Arabidopsis thaliana: one gene and its partner. The protein of the gene in region 1 interacts with the protein of each later gene in a pairwise test. Each region holds a gene or a part of one and is shown in the gene's direction. Other genes may lie near its edges. The genes, in order: OFP1 and KNAT4.

Evidence for each region.
Region 2: the proteins of OFP1 (region 1) and KNAT4 interact in a two-hybrid assay, tested with the Arabidopsis thaliana proteins (one large-scale study listed by BioGRID).

Annotation. Positions count from the first base shown.
Region 1 is NC_003076.8:318,644-329,308, forward strand, and holds OFP1 (ovate family protein 1), read left to right. Parts: upstream 1-5,784; 5' UTR 5,785-5,908; coding exon 5,909-6,721; 3' UTR 6,722-7,035; downstream 7,036-10,665. Other genes in the region: SAUR21 (ARM repeat superfamily protein), read left to right, coding at 2,340-4,364.
Region 2 is NC_003076.8:3,504,087-3,514,751, forward strand, and holds KNAT4 (homeobox protein knotted-1-like 4), read left to right. Parts: upstream 1-5,746; 5' UTR 5,747-6,321; coding exon 6,322-6,894; intron 6,895-7,385; coding exon 7,386-7,506; intron 7,507-7,702; coding exon 7,703-7,887; intron 7,888-8,221; coding exon 8,222-8,353; intron 8,354-8,511; coding exon 8,512-8,648; intron 8,649-8,847; coding exon 8,848-8,881; 3' UTR 8,882-9,655; downstream 9,656-10,665.

The DNA of each region.
Region 1 (10,665 bases):
ATATCTGGTTCTTATTATGAACCATTTTCATATATATTAAATAAAAATCAATACATATATACACGTTGAAGTAATTTTTATATGGACTTAAAGAATTGTGTCGAGTATGTGGAGTGAGTCAGCATAAGTCGGGATAATTTTGTCTGCTTCCTCGCAAATAATTAAACGGTGATGTGCATATTTAACTAACTAAATGTATGTTTTTTTATCATATAGTTTATGGGCATCGCGTAATATACAAATCAGATGACAACGCTGAAGGAGGCACTCATTGATCGTGAGATTGCTTACTGTTGACCAAAAAATAAGTGTTAGTGAATTAGAATAATCTTACGTAATGAAGTCCCCACATACGGTGATGTGAGTATATATGAATTGCAATAGATAATAAAGTAAATAGTCGAAGTTAATTATATACAACAACCAAAAAAAAATAACGCAAAGATAATTATATACTACATTTATGAAATTCCAGCAGAAACAAAAAAACATGGTTTCAACCTTCAACTGTTAAAATTATTGATTTAATCCTACAATTTCAGGTTCATTGATCCATCACTACTATTATCAAATGTTGATTCTGCACTAAAAAAAAAGATTATAAACCATTAACCCAAACTTTCCCTGGGTTGAAAAGATAAATAATGGAACAACGTGAATAATCTGTAGAAGTCCATGATGTAATCATTGATCAAACCCGATCACTACAGGCTTTTCAAACACGTTTAAGGTAGTAACAACAAATTAGTATTTTTTAAAAGATTAGACACAAATTGGCTCCGTTACACAGCCTATGAAGTATGAACAGTTCCAAGACATTTAGCTGCAGTATCAACAACACTAATTATATATCCTCGAAAAGCCCAATAAATGCTTCTATACATATTAAATGGCCCAAAGTTCTTTGTTCTTGTATATTATTAGCCCTCACGACGGAACTATTAATCAATTTAATCTCATAAGAAAGCCCAAATGTATTCCCTTTATTTTATTGGCCCAAATGCTTTGCTATTTATTTTTTTGGGTCCGAGATAGAATTCAATAAACTATTTGTGTTATAATAATTATTCAGCCTAGTGTTGGATTTAGACCCAAAACAAAAATAACATCATCCCTACCAAAAATCATAAACTTAGAATAAGAAATTCAATGTTCCCATGTCCAATAGTTTTAATAAAAACGTATAAGATGTGAGTTGATCGATATAAAAAAGCAATATAGATATTGGAACTTTGTAGACATTATTACAATAATTAATCCAATTTTTTAAGTCTGTACATCAAGGCATTGCGTATGAGTGGTGCCATTGCAATCCATATAAGCTACATTCTATTGTTTCTCAATTTTCAACTATTTAAATAGATACCCAATAGCCATTATATTAAATTGACACTGAGAAGTGCGTGATGATTCTTGATTTGTTATGTGGATCTTTTCTTTGGTTGACAACAACAACAAGAAAAAAAAAAATTTAAACAATAATTTTTTTGTGTAAAATTTTAAAAATGCAAACATCTCATAATTTGCTTTAAAGGGAAACTACTCGTTTAAAATAAAAGGAAAGGTAACTTTGGTAATGGAAACATTTTGTTATATAATTTGAGAAATACTACTAGTATTCAATAATTCACCGGAAAGTGGAGAGAGCCAGCAGAGCAGATTCAATTATAAATTATGAAAAAATTAGAATGATTAGTTATGTGAGTATATATAATTTAAATATATTGAAAAAGAGAAGACGAGATCAATTCTCTCTAACAAACTTGTACCAACTGTTGCATTCTTATGTCACCAAAACGAAGACCTTATCTTCATTCTTACATTTCTTATATATTGTAATCAGTGTTGCTCGACAACTCACGAGGCGTGTAGGCGTGTGTTATTCTAAAAAACTGTAGTTATGGAAGAAAATCCAAAGCAGTCATTAGATAAAACTGGTTTTAGATTAAAACTAAGCTAAGTTATGGCCTATGGGTTAGTTGTGAAATAAAAATTGGGTTTGGTCTAATTTCGGCCAAAAAAACATTACCATAAGAGAAAAAGTCAAAAGAGAAGGGAATGTTTGACCTCTCGCCTCTCGTGCTCCTCTGTAAGGCGGCTTTGTCCTCTCTGCGACTGACTGACTTCTTCTGACGGCTCCGTCCACCGTCGTCTCTTCTTCCGTTACGACTTTTTCTTCCAATTAAATAACTTTAACCAAAGGAAAATTTGAAACGCCAGCTCCTCTCTCCGTGTAACAAACCAACAACTACAACCAACAAGAGCTTAGAGCTCTCTTTCTTTCTTTCTTCTTCCTTTTCTCTTTTCCATTCCTAAACAAAAGTCTTTCTTCCTCATCAATGGCTGTTACTCTTGATTCTCCTTCTCCGGCGAGAAAACGTCGCCCTTTGGTCGTCGGGTCATTCGAATCTCCGAAGCTTTCTTCAGATACCAAACTGACTCGGTCTCTGTTTCTGGCGTCTCATGAGATTTCTTCTATGCAGCCTCTCCCATTCATTCTCCGACGCAATTCTCTCTCCCTCATTCGCAAAGTGAAGATATTAGCTTCCGTCTTCGATGAGCTTCTTCTCCCTCGTTCCCAACTTGTCGTCTACTCTCAATCCGCTCATCTCTGCTTCGAAGAAATGCAAATCGTTATGCAACGTATCAAGTCTTTGATCGATGACTGTTCTCGTGTTAGCAAACTCTGGCTACTCTTGCAGATCGACATCGTTGCCTTCAACTTTCACGAGCTTGTCACCGATTTATCCACCGTTCTTGATATTTTACCGCTCCATGACTTTGACCTCAGCGACGACGCCCAAGATCTCATCTCTCTCCTTACAAAACAATGCTCCGATTCTGTTCAGTTCGTCGACGCCCGCGACGTTGCTCTCCGTCGTAAAGTCACCGATACAATCGCCGGGATCAAGCACCAGATCTCACCGGATCACTCTACTCTCATCAAGATTTTCAACGACCTTGGTTTATCCGATTCTGCTAGTTTGACCGACGAAATTCAGAGATTGGAAGACGAGATTCAGGATCAGATCGACGACAGATCCAAATCCGCAGCCGCCTCTCTTATCGGACTCGTCCGTTACTCTAAGTGCGTCTTATACGGTCCCTCCACGCCGGCTCCAGATTTCCGCCGCCACCAATCCTTATCTGACGCTAACATCCCCGCGGATTTCCGGTGTCCGATCACCCTCGAGCTGATGCGGGATCCGGTGGTGGTTGCCACCGGTCAAACATACGATAGAGAGTCCATCGATCTTTGGATCCAATCGGGGCATAACACGTGTCCGAAAACAGGTCAAGTCCTCAAACACACCAGCCTCGTACCTAACCGTGCCTTGAAGAACCTCATCGTTTTGTGGTGCCGCGATCAGAAGATACCGTTCGAATTATACGGTGACGGCGGCGGAGAACCTGCGCCGTGCAAGGAGGCGGTGGAGTTTACGAAGATGATGGTTTCGTTTCTCATCGAGAAGCTCTCCGTGGCAGATTCTAACGGTGTCGTGTTCGAGCTCCGGGCGCTCGCAAAGTCAGATACTGTGGCCCGAGCCTGCATAGCCGAGGCTGGAGCCATACCCAAGCTGGTTCGTTATCTAGCCACAGAGTGCCCGAGCCTTCAGATAAACGCCGTTACGACGATCCTAAACCTATCCATCCTGGAACAGAACAAAACGAGGATCATGGAAACTGACGGAGCTTTAAACGGCGTCATCGAGGTTCTTCGTTCGGGTGCCACGTGGGAGGCTAAGGCTAACGCAGCCGCGACATTGTTCAGTTTGGCGGGCGTCTCGGCATACAGAAGAAGACTCGGGAGAAAAGCACGTGTCGTAAGCGGATTGGTTGACTTGGCTAAGCAGGGCCCCACCAGCTCTAAGAGAGACGCGCTCGTGGCGATCCTAAACCTGGTGGCTGAGAGAGAGAACGTGGGGAGGTTCGTTGAGGCTGGGGTAATGGGAGCCGCAGGAGATGCATTCCAGGAGCTACCGGAGGAAGCGGTGGCTGTCGTGGAGGCGGTGGTCAGGAGGGGAGGACTCATGGCGGTTTCTGCCGCTTTCAGTTTGATTCGACTTTTGGGGGAGGTGATGAGAGAAGGAGCGGATACCACAAGGGAGAGTGCGGCGGCAACGCTGGTCACGATGTGTCGGAAAGGAGGGTCGGAGCTAGTGGCGGAGATGGCGGCTATTCCAGGGATAGAGAGGGTTATATGGGAGATGATAGGAGCTGGAACGGCCAGGGGAGGGAGGAAAGCGGCGTCATTGATGAGATATCTAAGACGGTGGGCCGCCGGAGATACCCATAACACGGCGGCGGAAACGCAGAGCATTGTAGTGCCAACGCCAAGTAGGATTTTTAGTCCAGTTTTATGATTTTTCATTTTTTTGTTTTCCCCTCTTCTTCTTGTGTAAAGTTTAAATGTTTTTTTTTTCTTTCCTGATGATTTGAAAAGAAATTGATTCTTTTACAAAGTATTAAAAGCTGCAATTGTAAATGTAAATTCGAGAAAAGAACGAGAGATTTTTTCCCTTTTACTGGATGAACTTTACACAGTGTTATGATGTTGTTTACTAATCTCTCATAACTCATAACTAGTGTTTTGACAGGAACTAATAAAAATCTTGAAAGCATATTAGAGTTATCATATGTGTGTGAATAAAGAGACAAAAGAATTGGCACAAAATTTCAACACAAAAGACAGAGCAAATCCACAAGAGATATACACACAAGCATGTTCCTAAAGGAGTGATGATGATTGGAAATGGAACTGATTGCAAATAGCAACAATCTTTCTTCCTAGAGAAGCAAACCTTTTTGTTTGTTGTTTTTTTACGTTTTGGATCTTTCGAAGCATTAAATAAAATATCTTCTTCTTCCTTTCCCTCTTTTTTAAACGGTTAATTTTATTACAGAACTATTACAAAACCAGAAAACACATTTGAGGAAAAGAGTGACGGTGTTGAGAATTTATGAAGCGGAGTGAGAGACAAGAAATATGTTCAAACCAAAGAGTGAGGTTGGAGTTTTTCATCGAAGCAGAGTAGTTGATGTTTAAGGAAAAGCTGTTCTGTAACTTTTTACAACCATCAGTTAACCATGGCAGAGAACAAATACATAGAGATGTAACGTGTTATTTTTTGTTTGTTTGTTTAAACGTGTATAAAATGACCATGAATAAGTTGGCAAATTTGTGTCTCTGTAATATTATTATTTTTGGTTTCAATTTGACAGATTCTTTAGTTGGAGTTTAAAATTGATGAAGAGGAAAATATAAGAGGTGCTATCGTTAAGTGAAACTATTGGGCCGAAAACATATAGGCCCATTTTAAAATTTTGGTTTGTTTTGCAAGAGATCCCAGATCTCGAAGCGTGCGATAATGTTTGAAAAAAGCAGGTTTCTCTCTTCTTTATTTGTTGTCAAACCCAAACACCTACTTACGGAAACTGTAACACAATAAAGTGAGTGACCACTTTCTTTTTTTACACTATCGATGATACAACTTTTTAATATCATCGTGGTGCACATTTTAAAAGGATTACAATGACCACGATTAAACTAGTAATTAGTACATATACAAACTAGTAATTACTCTATTATTTATTTCTTTGGTACGAACACTACTTGTGTATTACTATTACTAAAACATATAATAAAAGTGTCAGTGTCAAATGTCAATGTAATTTAATTTAGGGGAAAATGAAATGGCCAACATAATCTAACACAAAATCAATGAAAATGGAGAGAGCATCTCACTCACCTTATAATAACCTTTATATTTTCCACGTATGTGGGCCCCCTCACATAAACCTCTCTTTCCTTTATAAATTCTCCACTCTTCACACTCTCACTTTTGTTCATGTACCAAAGAAGTCCCCAACAAACACAAAATAATCAACAGAGAGAGTCAGAGAGATAATGGGTAATAACTATCGGTTTAAGCTATCGGAGTTAATCCCTAACGCTTGGTTTTACAAACTTAGAGACATGTCCAAATCCAAGAAGAAGAATCTTCAGAGCCAACCAAATAGCACCACCTCCAAGAAGAAACACCACGCAGTCCCTACTCCTACGTCCACAACGCCACTCAGTCCTAGGCCTCCTAGGCGCCCTTCTCACTCTTCCAAAGCGCCACCCTCCCATCCTCCCAGGAAGTCCTCCGGGAACCGTCTTCGTCACCGAGCCACCGTCGACTCTAAGTCTTCCACGACTTCCGGCGACAGCACTACCACAGAAACAGGTTCTTTCTCACCGGACTTTCGCTCGGATCAAGTTCTCCTCCCCGACGAGTCATTAACGGGCTCCTGGCACAGCCCTTGCAGCTCCAAGTTATCCAAAACCGCAACCTTTACGCCGCCGCCGGAACTCGAACTCCGGCCCATCATTACCAAAACGGCCGCCACCGCACGGAAAACGGCGGTGAATTCTCCGGCGGGGGTGAGACTTAGAATGCGGTCGCCGCGGATCTCGGTGAGCAGCAGCGCAAGAAGAAGCGGGTCGTCGGCTCGGCGGAGCAGGGCGGTGGTGAAGGCGTCGGTGGATCCGAAGAGAGACTTTAAGGAGTCGATGGAGGAGATGATCGCTGAGAACAAGATAAGAGCGACAAAGGATCTAGAGGAGCTTTTGGCTTGCTATCTCTGTCTCAATTCAGACGAATATCACGCTATTATCATCAATGTCTTCAAGCAAATCTGGCTTGATCTTAATCTTCCACCACCCCATTCCAAATAATTTTATTATTAAGAAAAAAACATCTTCTTATATAGTATTAATTACTCCTTAATAATTAATCGCTCTACTGAATAAAAATGTAAATATATATGATGTTGATGATGATGATTCTTGTACTAACTATATTTATATGTAATAATGGTCTAGAGAGAGCCTACAGTCTTGTACTTGCATAACGGCCATCGTTGATGATATCAAGTACAGGAATTTTCTATCCGGATTGGTACTCTTCTACGAATCTTACTTTGCACGGACAAGCAAGTGTTACTTTAAATCAAATTTTGAATGTGGACGACTATAAACCTACTTTTGCGTCATCAATCATACTATATATACAGCTCACTCTTCAAGTCTAAATTTTTTAAAAGAGATTTAAAAATGATTGGAAACTCATTCATTGTGATCATGAGTTAGCAAGTGTTCATGTTGACAACAATTACTCTGCATCACGTTATAGACTAAGACTAATAGTGAACGTTTTATATTTAGTGTATCCATTATATTAGACCTACGATGCCGACAACTCATTAAAACAGCATCTGCGCCTATTTTCAGACCTAACTTTGGATATGTGTGTACGTGTGCATTTCTCAATTTCACACACATCTATATTTATTTATTTATATGTGTAGTTAACTTTTTAAAAAATAAAAAAAAATTGACCACGACGTATTGTTTTGTATAATATTTATATGTATATGCATGCAGTGCATAACACATACAAACAGTGCGACAAGCAAGAAGAAAACAAAACATTTTTACTTTTAGGCATATAAGTGCCAAAGAAAACAAAAAATCCAATTGGCTGTTTTTTATTTATTTATATCAGTGATGGGTGACAAATGACGAGAATATATAGGAAAAGGTAACATATCGGAAAAAAAAAAATTATATGAATATATGTAGATATTATAGTAAAATAAAATAAAATTAGTGATGAATGGTTCTTACTGGCAAACTTTTGCTTCTGTGTTTTATGGTTGTATCGTTATCATGATATTGATGTCATTTTGTTTTATGTAAATCTTCCATGAGATTTTGGTTTAATAGAGTTAAACATCAATCTTAAAAGAAAATTGTGGAATTCTTAAAATATAAAAATAGGAACTGAAAAGGAATCTCACGCGACATTAAACTGACAAAGCATATTTTAGGTTTTATGGGTTTCCAAGGAAAGAAGCAGATTACAAAACGAAACTTGCTCGTTGATTTCTCACCGTTATAAAATAAATAAATAAAAACATATACTGTATTATCAAACTCCTCAATAATTTTTTTTGCCAAGATTACTCTTAGATCCTTAGGTATTGTTGTAATATCTTTACATTTCATTTTCAATGAAATTAACATTCATAGAAAAAAAAGAAAAAACTGTATATCATGAAGATTATATTCAATTATAAATGTTCACATTCAAACTAGACTAATAATTAGTAGATATGAGTAAATTTAGAATTATGTGGTAAGATTTCTATTGAAATACATTACAAAACATCAACCTATATATTGAATAATAATAATAATAAATCATATACGTGTGCGGAGTTAAGTACTGTTGCACAAAAGTGAATATTACACTGACTGAAGTTCAAAACAGGGACCAAAAAAGGTGAAGTAAAAAGTACCCAAAATCTATCTCTCTTTTTTTCGATACGATAATACACACTCATACAAAAAAAGGTTCAAAAGCTTTGTCGGGCACGCCGGCCATGGACTACAACGAATTTTTTGTAAAATTGTTAAGAAAAATTACAACAATACTTTTTTATATAAATAAAAATATAAGTACAACAATACTTTAAATTAAATTGTTTGATATCATCGCATGGTAGTAAGAGTACACAATAATAAGTATGAGACGTTTATACTCCCAGATTTTTAATTTAAGTTTCTTGCTTAAAACATGGACTTGTGATGTACGGGTACAAAGACAACAATTTACAAAGATCTGAGATACCTATTAGAAACAAATTATAAATGTATAATAATGTGTTTCTTTACTGGTGGTGGCCAGTGTCCGTGTGATGTACGGGTACCCCCACCACTATGAATTTTCAAAATCAGCATTTCTAAATATAATATAATATTGATATTTGGACTTGACTATACCTATATCAACATACAATTAATTTACTTGTTTCCCGGTAAATAGTATACTTCGAAAATAAAACCATTCCACAACGAAATGATGTGAAAACTCTCACTTGGACATAAATTATGATCCCTTTGTAAAAAATTAAGAAAGAGTATCTTGTTAGAACTGCGACGTATCATAGACGCGTTTTCTATTTGGAATGATATATAAAAGTTGTTTTTATTCGTTTGTCTCTCCTTACTTATCACTAGCACATTTTTAGATAAAGTTGTAAGTAATCCACAAGGCACAACTTTCTTTTTCCGTGAAATGTTTTTGTAAGTAGGGCCATTTCATAATTACACAAGATAGAGAAGTACATGTCAACGAATTTATTATGTTTTATTTTTAACATATAAAACAATTAGAATTGTAAAGTAAATAGCAACCAAGCCGAATGTTGCAAAAAAGATTGAGGAGTATATGACACTGTTAAAACGGAACTGTATAAACCTAACCGAGTGACAAAAATTATGTACATTACATATTATGATATGAAGTGAAAGAATCAAACCCAAAACTGAATTGGACAACGTTACCGTGGTTATTTGGATGTAAGCTACGTACGAACCATCTCTGCATTAAATAAATTGGAAGAAGAGTTATATATAGACTAGTTATGTAGAAATTATACGTGTTATAATAATTTAAGAAGTTGATCGAGATTTCGAAGAAGATGTAATAATGGCGAAGAATTGTCGGTGAGCCGCAAGTGGAGACTCGGTCAACGACCATTTAACTGAACTTGCCTTGCGCGCGATCCGACATTATCACCGGAGATTCTGCGTCTTGTGACCTTTGTCTCTCCGCCGTCCATATTTTCATTTTGAATCAAATAAAACAAGTACACGACACACCAAAAACAAAACTACTATTACATTGGGTTTTCGTTTTGCAAGAAAGTCACCGAGGTTCACAGTTTCTCAGTGAATTTAGTCGAGCGGTTTTTTTTGGCTATTGATGATGGTACATGGCGTGCTGAGTTATTAGTATACCTACAAAACATTTTCTTTTTTGAACAAAACAAGTTTGAAATACCATTTTTTAAATTGTTTTGTCTTCATATCGTTAATTGGGATGATTGAAATCAGTTACCGTTTGTATGACTTGGCAAACATTAAGCCGTACCTAGCAAACATTATGTGTGTCCTTTTCGGGTCCTAATAATCACTGCATGAATTATTATTCTTATACTACTCTTTATATATCAATTAAAGGATGAGGCCGAAGGCAAAATCGAGTTACCACTTTGCACGTGTTACGGACTTCGTGCATTTCACATCAGAACTTTTTTTTCTCCTCTTTATTCATCGCACAACAGTTTAACAAGTTTATGACATCTAATGCAAGAGTAACAGAAACAACAAAACAGAGGCCATTTTGTATTATGTTATTTATTATTTTACCTATCATCGCTGCGTCAATTGTCAAATCTCTTTATGGGATTTGACTCTTGCGTGAAATAAAACCACATTTTAGTATTTTTTTCGTTTTTATTTGGATAAAGACAATTTACACAACCCGTCTGTGCCCATCACTCTTATAGATTGTTTTTTTCCCCTTTTTAAGTTAGTCGAAGAATTATGTGCCAAAAATCAATACATCTTTTGTGTGGATATAAATCAGTTTATATTATAAGTCGGAAATTTCAAAGACTTAAAAATTTTTAGAAGGTCCGAGAACTCGCCATTGACCCAAAATTTATTTGGTCCTTAAAGTTGTTAAACTCTGAAATCAGTTTTACGCTCATATATTTCATTTTGTATATGCAAATTTAAATTGCATCTAAATTACTGAAATATTGTTATGC
Region 2 (10,665 bases), 3.2 Mb from region 1:
TGATAAGAAAACTCGAGAACACTTTTCATTTTGTGTTCAATTTTCCCTATTATTTTTGTTTATTTTTACTAAAAATATCAGTTAAGTAAAAAGAATGTGTTAACCCATTAACGTACCTTTCAGTTTTGAATTGAAATATTAGGTTGCGATCGTAACAGTCATTTGATAGCTAGTAATAAATATTTTTTGAGTAATTACTATACAAAGTTCATTCAAATCAGAGTTTATGTAATAAATGATTAGTCCAGCTGGGGGGAAAAATGATTATTCCTATATGCGACAATTGTTATAAATTACATATATATATAATTAGTACTCAAAATTTGTCCAAAAATATATAAATAATTAATACTCAAAAAATACTTGGTGTAAAATCTATTGAATATTCTACTGAAGAATAATTAAGTTTTGAAGTGAAAATTGCATTTGTTTTTATTAACTTTGGACTTTAAATATTCATATTTAACCATATTTAGGGAACGATTAAAGATTATCCCAAGTAATATCCGAATTTTAATAGATATATCTAGACAAAAATACGTCCCGGTGATATATACGGATCAGATTATGTTGATATGAATGAAACAGAAAGAAATCATATATTTTAGATGGCTACTTAAGATATAACTCTACTGCATATGAATAAAGGGATAATACATAACTAATCTCTTTACTTTGTTTTTCTAATTAAACGTGGGCTGAGGCTAAGAGATCGGCCCAAAGAGTGAATATGGGCCAGAAATAACTTATTTGTTATCAAAGGTAGCCGTACTCGCCGACTAAATGATTTTAGTTATTAAATTGGTACGGACCTTGATTTTGTCACAATCAGAATAGGTCGAGTAATTTGCTTAACTTCTTAAGCTTATTTTGAATCATTTTTTTAGTTTGAGTTATTAATTAATTTAGATTTGGTGCATTGTCAATTAATTTGTGTCAAATTGAGTACAAATGTGAGTTAGGACTTGAGTCTAGCTAATAATAATAGCTCCACCATTATATCGTCACCAACGAAAACTTAATATGCGTAAGTTATAAAACTTTGAGCTTGCAACTAATTTGGTTTTACCATGATCCTGAGAGGGCAAAGAATATAGTAATCCAACCCAAACTGTTGACTCCCATATAGCCTTGCAACATTCAATGAGTACAATTTGAGCCACATCGGATTCCAAGATTAATGAAACCAAAAAGATAAAGAAAAAGAGATAAGTAAATATGCTACTTCAGATTGGCCTAAGATTCCCAAATAGATGGCAAATGCATAACTAAAAGTAAGCAAACAATGCGGAGAGATATGGACAACACAGAGAAGCATTGAAGAAGAAAGCAGAAGAGTGTAGAAGTGGTCCATTACAGAATTTAATTTCATTGAAAATTCTTCTTCTTTTTCTTTTCTTTTGATGTTTTGTGGTCCAATTTTGGAAGTGGACAAAGCCTAACTTTGAGTGTTAATAAGAGAAGCGGACACTTACGCCACTCTTATATTAGCAAGACATATGACATGTTTTATGTTACTCTGTACTATTGAGGCAATACTATTGTTGATTTAGTGTATTAATATTATTTTTTGTGTCGTCATCCAACTTTAGACCTAATAATCCATGTTATTAACACAAGTAAAAAGTGATTATATTACTATATATCCTAGTTCATCTGTGTTTATCTTTTATTCTTCTAAATATATACTCTAAGAACCTCAACAATTCAACGTTTCATTGTCAATAATCTACAAAAATGTGAATATGGCCACATTCTCACGTCTCCATCTCACTAATGTACAATTCAAAAGTATATAATAAGATAAAAAGCTTATAATACTACACTTATTTCGCTTATACATCTCATCAAAAGTTATATAAGAGAAAGGTTGGATGGGGACACATTTACAACATTATTTGATCAAGAATGAACTCTTGTTTCTGACAAAATATATATATTGCATGACTCACTGATTATGTATGACATATTTTTTTCTTTAATCTGTTATCCATCAATATTAAAATATTATATATGTATAACTAGTGTTAATACACAAATTATCCTAAATTTACAAAACTTTTTCAAAAAAATTACCCTAATTAAAATGAGAAGAAACTCATGAAACTTCAAAATAACATGGACATGGAACTCATTAAACTTTTACATGCTCACAACAATACATACTCAACATCACACTATATTAACGAGTAAGAGACACACATCAGTACGTCACTAAAAACATAAGCATCATAGCTGATTTAATTTATCTTTTATTTGTCCAAAGATATCCTTTAAAATATATATAAAATTAACGTTGTAAGAAACATGTAAAATAAAGTATTTTTATAGAAAGAAAGGAGACTTTTCACCAGTCATAACTCTATATTCTTTTGGCACAATAAGTAATGGTCACAACACAACAATGTCTTCACCAAAACCAAAGAACTAATTGAGTAAGAAGAAGAACCAAAGACTTGTTCAGCAATGTGGATAACCCCAATCTCTCTTTCTCAAGAGAGGCCAAATCACTCTTCTTTTCTCCGTTTTGTCTACTTTGAAACGTTTCTATCTTCTTTTTGTAGGATCGTTTGAACATTTCCCTTACTTTCTCTATTATTTGATATGATCATTTAGATTTCTTTTATATCATGGAGGGGACTACGATTTGTTTTCTCTATCTTTTTGGAGCAGAAGATCAGATTCTAATAAAATTTGATAAATGAGGTTTTTGTGTCTTGTACCGATATGACTTACACAATATCTTTAATTAACCAGTTTTATTGTTAATAACATGCATTATACAACTTTGAATATGGATTTTGAGACATTAACGATATGAGTGCATGCCATTATATGGTCAATCTTGAACCAATTAAAATTTGTTTTATATGTATATCTATTTTCACATAACATATTGTTTTACCAAAAAAAAATTTATTATCTGCTTTTGAAAGAAAACATAACCCAGTTATCTCTCTCAATAAATTTCATCCAACAACATTCCCCCCTCTCAATGCGTATATTTATTAAAAACTGGATAGTACATGATCGCGGTGAACATGAAAAACTCTATAGTATACATTAATATAATGGAACTGTTAGGGCGTATTAGACTTACTAAAAAATTATAAGATATAAGAAAAAGAAAAATCCTATGTAAGAAAATTCTCTCAAACAAAGGAACTGTTAGGGCGTATTAGACTTACTCTAATACGCTATAATGTGAATTACGAACAATAATCAAAGCAATAAGAGAAAGTAATTCACTATAGGAACAACTTTGGCATCGTTACAAAACAAAGTGAAAGATGAAGAGAAAACATCCTTTACGTTCCATCATTTTCATCCACAAACCTGACAAAAAGCTTCCTATGTTCTTTCTCTACTCTATCTTTATAATAAAATAAAGTATTTATGTTCTTTTAACTCAATGTTTTGATGTATATGTTGTCTATATTGTTAGGTTCCTTGTAATTTTCATCTATCACAAGCCAAGTAGTGTACAACAAAACAAATTAACAAAAGAAAGCATCATCATTATGAGCATCATCCTCGTATTAGATTCACTGTTTCTACAAACATCTTTTAGGAAAGAAAAAAAAAATTCCAACAAAACTGAATATCTTTATTTTGCTGAGATGACATTGTTTTGTCTTGTGTGTTAAGTTCTTGTGTTCAATATTGATAAATATAATCAAATGGCGATAGTTGACAAGTCACCAGGCCAGCGATCAAATACAATCTCTACGATCATCACATACTTATTCAAGGCTAGCTGCGTCTATATATTATAAAATTTTCATATAAGTTCCATATTAGTTTTTGTTTGTTTGATTGGCAAATGCACGGTTTTAATAATCTTGTTAGTCAATAAAGTTTAAAAATCAATCGCAAACCACTATAGATTAGTGTTTCCATAAAGAAGATTCATTGGCTTATGTATCAATGACTATTTAAAAAAAAAAAAAAATTGTAAACTAGACAAGATTTTTGCTAACAACCCCAATTATCATTAACTAATTAATTAATGATTTTGTTTCTGTCCCTAATATAGACAGCACAAGTTGTTGATTAAGATTCTTTGTACCACCCTACTCTTAGCTTTGGTCCTAGACAATCAATATAATTAAGTAGGTCCAAATCCAAGGCTTGTTTATGTGAATGTGAAATAAGAAATAATCGGTGATTTTTATTCAAAAAAGAAAAAATAATCGGTGGTGGTCGTTCAATCAGTAATCTCGAGGTCCGAAAGCACAATGCATATCACGAGTTCAAGATTTACTGGTGATTACAATTAACTTGGCACATTGTAATTACAAGATTTTTATATATATATTTCATGTTTCACTAACCATAAGGTAAGGAAATAAAAATAAAAATGAAGGAGTGATTAGTTGGAGCCGTAGGCCGTAGGGAACTTCGTCGTTTCTCGTAGAAAAGAGTGTAGGGACGACAAGAGTTGTTGTGAAATGGACGACTGTGATCGTTAATGTGACTCTCTTTGTCCAATCATGTGTTAGCTGATTCCACACGAAACATAGACCTTATCACACTGGAAGTTTACTTGACACATGTCTCTACTCTTTTATTCATCATCACTCAGACCTTACTGTTTGGATATTTTGGTGGATTCAACTTTGTCGTTTAGTCTCATTCATCGGCTCTCTCGCGTGTATCGCACGCAAATAGAACACTCAATGGCCAAATCTTGGAAGCAGTCAATGGCCACCAACCTTCAATAAATTACCACTAATCATTGGATAGTTCTAAGAAATGTCTACTTTCATATATTAATGCCAATTTTACCGGTTAAATTTTGACTTGACAACAAAAGATTTAACTTTTCTTATGAATACAAAATCAAAGAATAAATTTAAACTGAACAATTGGTATACGAGATAGAGAAACCAACTTCGATCAAAGTATGAGTAACGAAGCTTGATCAAAGTATGAGTAGGTTAAAGTTAAATTACTTTTAACAAGGTAGAGACAGGAGTGGTCGTGGATATAGGTTAGACTAGTCTAAGTGATGGAGCTTAATTAGACGGTTACGAATTGTTTTGCATCACATTCCTAATAAGTACATTAGATGGGTTTGATACAAATCGATGGATATTTATATTGTATTGCTTCCAATTCTCATATTAAAAACATTTGGAACCACATGCAAAAATTTATATGCTTGTAACATAAGTATATAATCTATTTATTTGTTTATTTTGTCAATGCTTAGTGATCAAATTAACAAAGTATAAGTATATGTATGTTTCTATAATATCTGAAATATTTATTCCTAGATAATATGTGTATGCCAAACATTTGATATCGTGTATCTGTAATCATGTTTTTTTAGCAGAAGTCATGAGTTCATACCAAAATTAATATGCAAATTTTATGTTTTTTCTGATGATGGGATTAAATTTGTCGTACTTTTTTGATAAGACAGCAACTATAAGCTTAAGTCAAATTTCTGAAATTGGTCCCCCACACCTCTAAATTTTTGAATCGTTTGTATTTTTTTTGTTACTAAATACAAAATAATGTAAAATTTAAATTTGTACGGCTGGATTCTCTTATCCGATCTATCGCATGCCAATTTCTTCAGGGACCACAATTAGAGGAAATCGTTATCACGACACGTGTCCTCCGATATTTTTGGCGCCGAGTAGTGACGTCATTATTAATGGTCCCCTCCTTCCTTGCTTTTTTCCCATTCGTCTACTCTCCTTTTTCTTTAACAAATTATCTTTTTTTTCCTCCGATATTCTTCAAAATTTGTTTTAAAATCCTTTGCAGATTTGTGTAATTTATTTACTTTTGCTTGGTACCAAAAACAAATAGAGCAAAAATGAGCAATTCTTTTTGATAAGCAGAAAAAAATGTTAGGAACGAATGAAGAAAAAGTGATGCAGCTATTTCCTTTTACTGTCACTTCGTAATTCGTATCATTCTTTTGCCGTCAACTTCTACCATCTCTTTTTTTTGTAAAACGATAAAACTTTTTGTTGTCGCTGTAAATGTTAGTAATCTGACCTAATCCCAATTTATTATGGATCACCAAAAAGCTGGTACTCTACAATTTAATAATAAAAGAAGAAGAATAAATATAGGAATAAATCGTCTTTTTTGGTGTAAGCTACATATAAAATTCAAACCGTCAAACACACATACACATCGAAACCCTTATATTTCATTTTCTTTCTGTTTTAGAGAAGAAAGTTTCTATAATTGATTGATAAATCTGAACATCAAAGCTAAGAATTTCTCTTCTTTTTTTCTTCTTAATTCATCTTTCCCTCTCCGAAACAGAAATTCAAAAACAAATTCAACACGAAAACGATGGCGTTTCATAACAATCACTTTAATCATTTCACCGACCAACAACAACATCAGCCTCCTCCTCCGCCGCAACAGCAGCAGCAACAACATTTTCAAGAATCAGCACCCCCTAATTGGCTCCTCCGCTCCGACAACAACTTCCTCAATCTCCACACAGCTGCCTCTGCCGCCGCTACAAGCTCCGATTCTCCTTCTTCCGCCGCCGCTAACCAGTGGCTCTCACGATCCTCATCCTTCCTCCAACGAGGCAACACCGCAAACAACAACAACAACGAAACATCCGGTGACGTCATCGAAGACGTTCCCGGCGGAGAGGAGTCAATGATCGGAGAGAAGAAGGAGGCGGAGAGGTGGCAGAATGCGAGACACAAGGCGGAGATACTGTCTCATCCACTATACGAGCAACTTTTGTCGGCACACGTGGCGTGCCTGAGGATCGCAACGCCGGTGGATCAGCTTCCGAGGATAGACGCACAGCTTGCTCAGTCTCAAAACGTCGTGGCTAAGTACTCAACTTTAGAAGCCGCTCAAGGACTCCTCGCCGGCGATGACAAGGAGCTTGACCACTTCATGGTAACTTAACTTCTCTTTCCTTCTTACCACTCTCAATTCCCATTATTTTATTCCTTTTCTTTTCTTTTGGAAAATAAAATCACTAAAAATTACTTTCATCTTTTATATTTAAAACGGTTTGACAAATTTGAATATTTTGTTGTTAATTATCTCCAAATTTATAAAAGTAAATTAGAGAAGAAAATCAAAAATTCTTTCTAGACTTGTACTTTGCACCGACAGACATGATCAGTGGGTTGGATAAATCGTCAGTTAAAAATTTGGATATTAGTTTTGCACAGTAGTAATTTGACAGCATAAGGTTTATTTTGAGATAGATTTTTGCTGAGTGTAAGTGATTGAGCAATTTCATTGATTGCAGTTACGGATACAGTGATCTGACAAAAACTAGTTTGTCACTTTCTGTATCTATATCCCATATTTTACTGTTCATGGACGTATTTGTATGATTGTATCTGTTGTCTGAAAGATATTTCCATGTTTTTGTGCAGACGCATTATGTACTATTGCTTTGCTCTTTCAAAGAACAACTGCAACAGCATGTTCGTGTTCATGCAATGGAAGCTGTTATGGCCTGTTGGGAGATTGAACAGTCGCTTCAAAGTTTTACAGGTTAGTTTTTAAGACTTCTACTAAATTATCAACTTTAATTTGTCATTTAGCTGTTATGGTAACTTTTGTATTTCACTATAGTATTGTAAAAGACACAAGGTTCTTTTATTTTATTTCTCATTTCAATGCTGTTTTTTATATTTAGTACCTACTTCTTGAGGTTTTAATTTAACACTTGTTTTGTTGAATGAGACAGGGGTATCTCCTGGTGAAGGCACAGGAGCAACAATGTCTGAGGATGAAGATGAGCAAGTAGAGAGTGATGCTCATTTGTTTGATGGAAGCTTAGATGGGTTAGGGTTTGGTCCTCTAGTTCCCACTGAGAGCGAGAGATCTTTGATGGAACGAGTCAGACAAGAACTCAAACATGAACTCAAGCAGGTAACTAGTGAAATATACTATATCCATCATTTACTACTACACATATATAAGATCAATGATAACAAATCCTTCACACCTTATTATATATCGTTGTAGCTAAAGTAAATATGCTTCTATTTAGTCCAATCAACCAAGAACTTGTCAAAACTTTATTTTTGATCTACAAAAAGACTCAAATGAATTTATGATTTTTAATTGTCTGAAGCTTGTTTGATGAGTTGTCAGTTTGCAACATCTACATAGTACTTACACGCACTTATATGCATGAAAATTGTGGTACACACTATATATAGTTAGCTTAACTAATGATATTGACCCATGTTTTTGTGAAAAGGGTTACAAGGAGAAAATTGTGGACATAAGAGAGGAGATACTGAGGAAGAGAAGAGCTGGAAAATTACCAGGAGACACCACCTCTGTTCTCAAATCATGGTGGCAATCTCATTCTAAGTGGCCTTACCCTACTGTGAGTTCCCTCTTTCTACTTCTTCAGTCACTCGCATGAACACGCCTCGTGGGTCTTTACCTAGTTCTGTCCCGAAAATCTTTGACTACATCATTTTTGCAACTTCATATGCTTTCTCAATCTCCTAAGTTTTAAATGAATCATGTAAATTTTGACAGGAGGAAGATAAGGCGAGGTTGGTGCAGGAGACGGGTTTGCAGCTCAAACAGATAAACAATTGGTTCATCAATCAAAGAAAGAGGAATTGGCATAGCAATCCATCTTCTTCTACCGTCTCAAAGAATAAACGCCGAAGGTACTTTGCACCAACATAACTTTATAGGAAGAGTATCCAAGAAAAGACAAAATATGATCACACGATAAGATACAATCTCTGAAATATATATATGTTAGGTGTGACAAAGTTTAGCTTGTTTATGTATGGTTAGATTAATGTTTAGTTACATTTTCAAGATATATGGAGTCATTAAATTTGGAGGGTTTTCTTTATGAAGCAATGCAGGTGAAAACAGCGGAAGAGACCGTTGAGATCAAGCTTGCATGTAGAGATCCAAAAGCTTTATAGAAAGGTGGAGGCATGAAGACAAAGAATTCTTACACAACAAACGTAGGACGTAATTTTGTGCCAGTACATGGTATGGCTTTCATATTTGGTAATGATTAGGGCCACACAAAATTAAACCCCAAAGCATGATTTGTAATATGAGGTTTTAGATGGACTTTATGATAGGATCGTCAGTCTTCACTGCCATCTCCATTCTCCACCATCAATCCATCATTATATCTTGTGAATAACATGGAAATTTCTCGTTATGCATTTAATTTGTGCAATCATTGGCCGTAATCTACACAAATATACATATTAATTTAGCTTGAATATATTATCTCAATTAATGGTTTCAATTTTTTTGTTTTGTTTTGTGAGTGGAACCACTTTTTATGTGGAATTGTTAACCCTAATGCCAAAATCTAAACTCTGCGAAGGTCGCCAGCAAACGAAAGAAAGAGATTATCTCCGCCGTTGTCAAAATTATTAAAAGGGATTATAAAGTTTTTCAATTTGGGCCCCTTTCCTGCGTTTTCTTTATTGTCCATTATGGGCCTCATTGTCTCTAGACTCTCTACCTTACAGGGTTTGCTCGCCGACGTTTCATACATAGTCCTCTTGTTTCTAAGGATGCCGATTAACACTTTTCATTTTTATCAACAAACTGGCTTGCAAGGGTTTTGAACCTGAGTGATGACCTACCATTTCTATCCATACTATAATCAGATTTTTTTTTGTTCTTTTTTATAATCAAGTTGGTGAAATAATTAACAACAATACTAGCACAAATCATTAACATAATGGTTCATACCTCATAGCCATATAAGATCATGAAAAAGTTATAGTTTTAGAAGTTTGTTTTTATTTTTAGTTAAAATTTAGTTTTTCCAATTAAGACCGAGTTATTAGTTAACAATGTAAAACTTAAGTAAATGCGATTTCTTTGGATTGGTTTGATTCGACTACAGTAAAACATAGGTCTTTGTTTTGTTTTAACCATAATAAAATCAATTGGATTATAAATAACTTTAGTTCTAATTCCGTTTACACATTTAGGTTTGCTTCAATTATAATCCTTCATGGAGATAGATAGCTAGATTAGTGGTGGTAATAATGTATGAGTTGAGAGAGTCTCTTTTTAGGTAGAATAAGATTGCACATGACGTGGCATTGTGAACGTTGTGGGGTTTTGTGATTGGTCTTGTCTTCTACTTACAAGACAGTCATATGAGAGGAGCATTTTAGAGCTGGCCCAATCATAAAAGACAGCTAGCTCTCTGTGACTCTGTGTTATCCGTTATGTTGCAGCAGCGACGAAAACAATTTGCTTCTTCTTCTTCTCTTTTGTCCTTATAGATAATACTTTTCTTTTCAAAATCAATTCACAATTGCTGAAGATATCAAAGATTCGTTATCTGAAAGTGACGCAGAAAAAGTACACAAAATAAAAGTGTTAGTGGGTAACTGGAGGATAGATAGAGAATATAAACAGAGAGGACGACAAAGAAGTTCAACATTCTCTCTAGTTTATCGCGCGCTTCTTTCTGTTACACGTTAGCCAATCTATGAGGAACATTTTCTGATTTTTTTATATGTAAGTATATTAGGATAATCATTGATACAAATATTCGATTCATCTGGTGTTTCTCTAAAAGATTAGGATATTTATGGGAGAAGAAGCTCTTCCTCGAACACCAATACGAGGAAATAACGTTCAATGAAGTTTGACATTACATCTTAATATTATATTTTAAGATATTTTTTA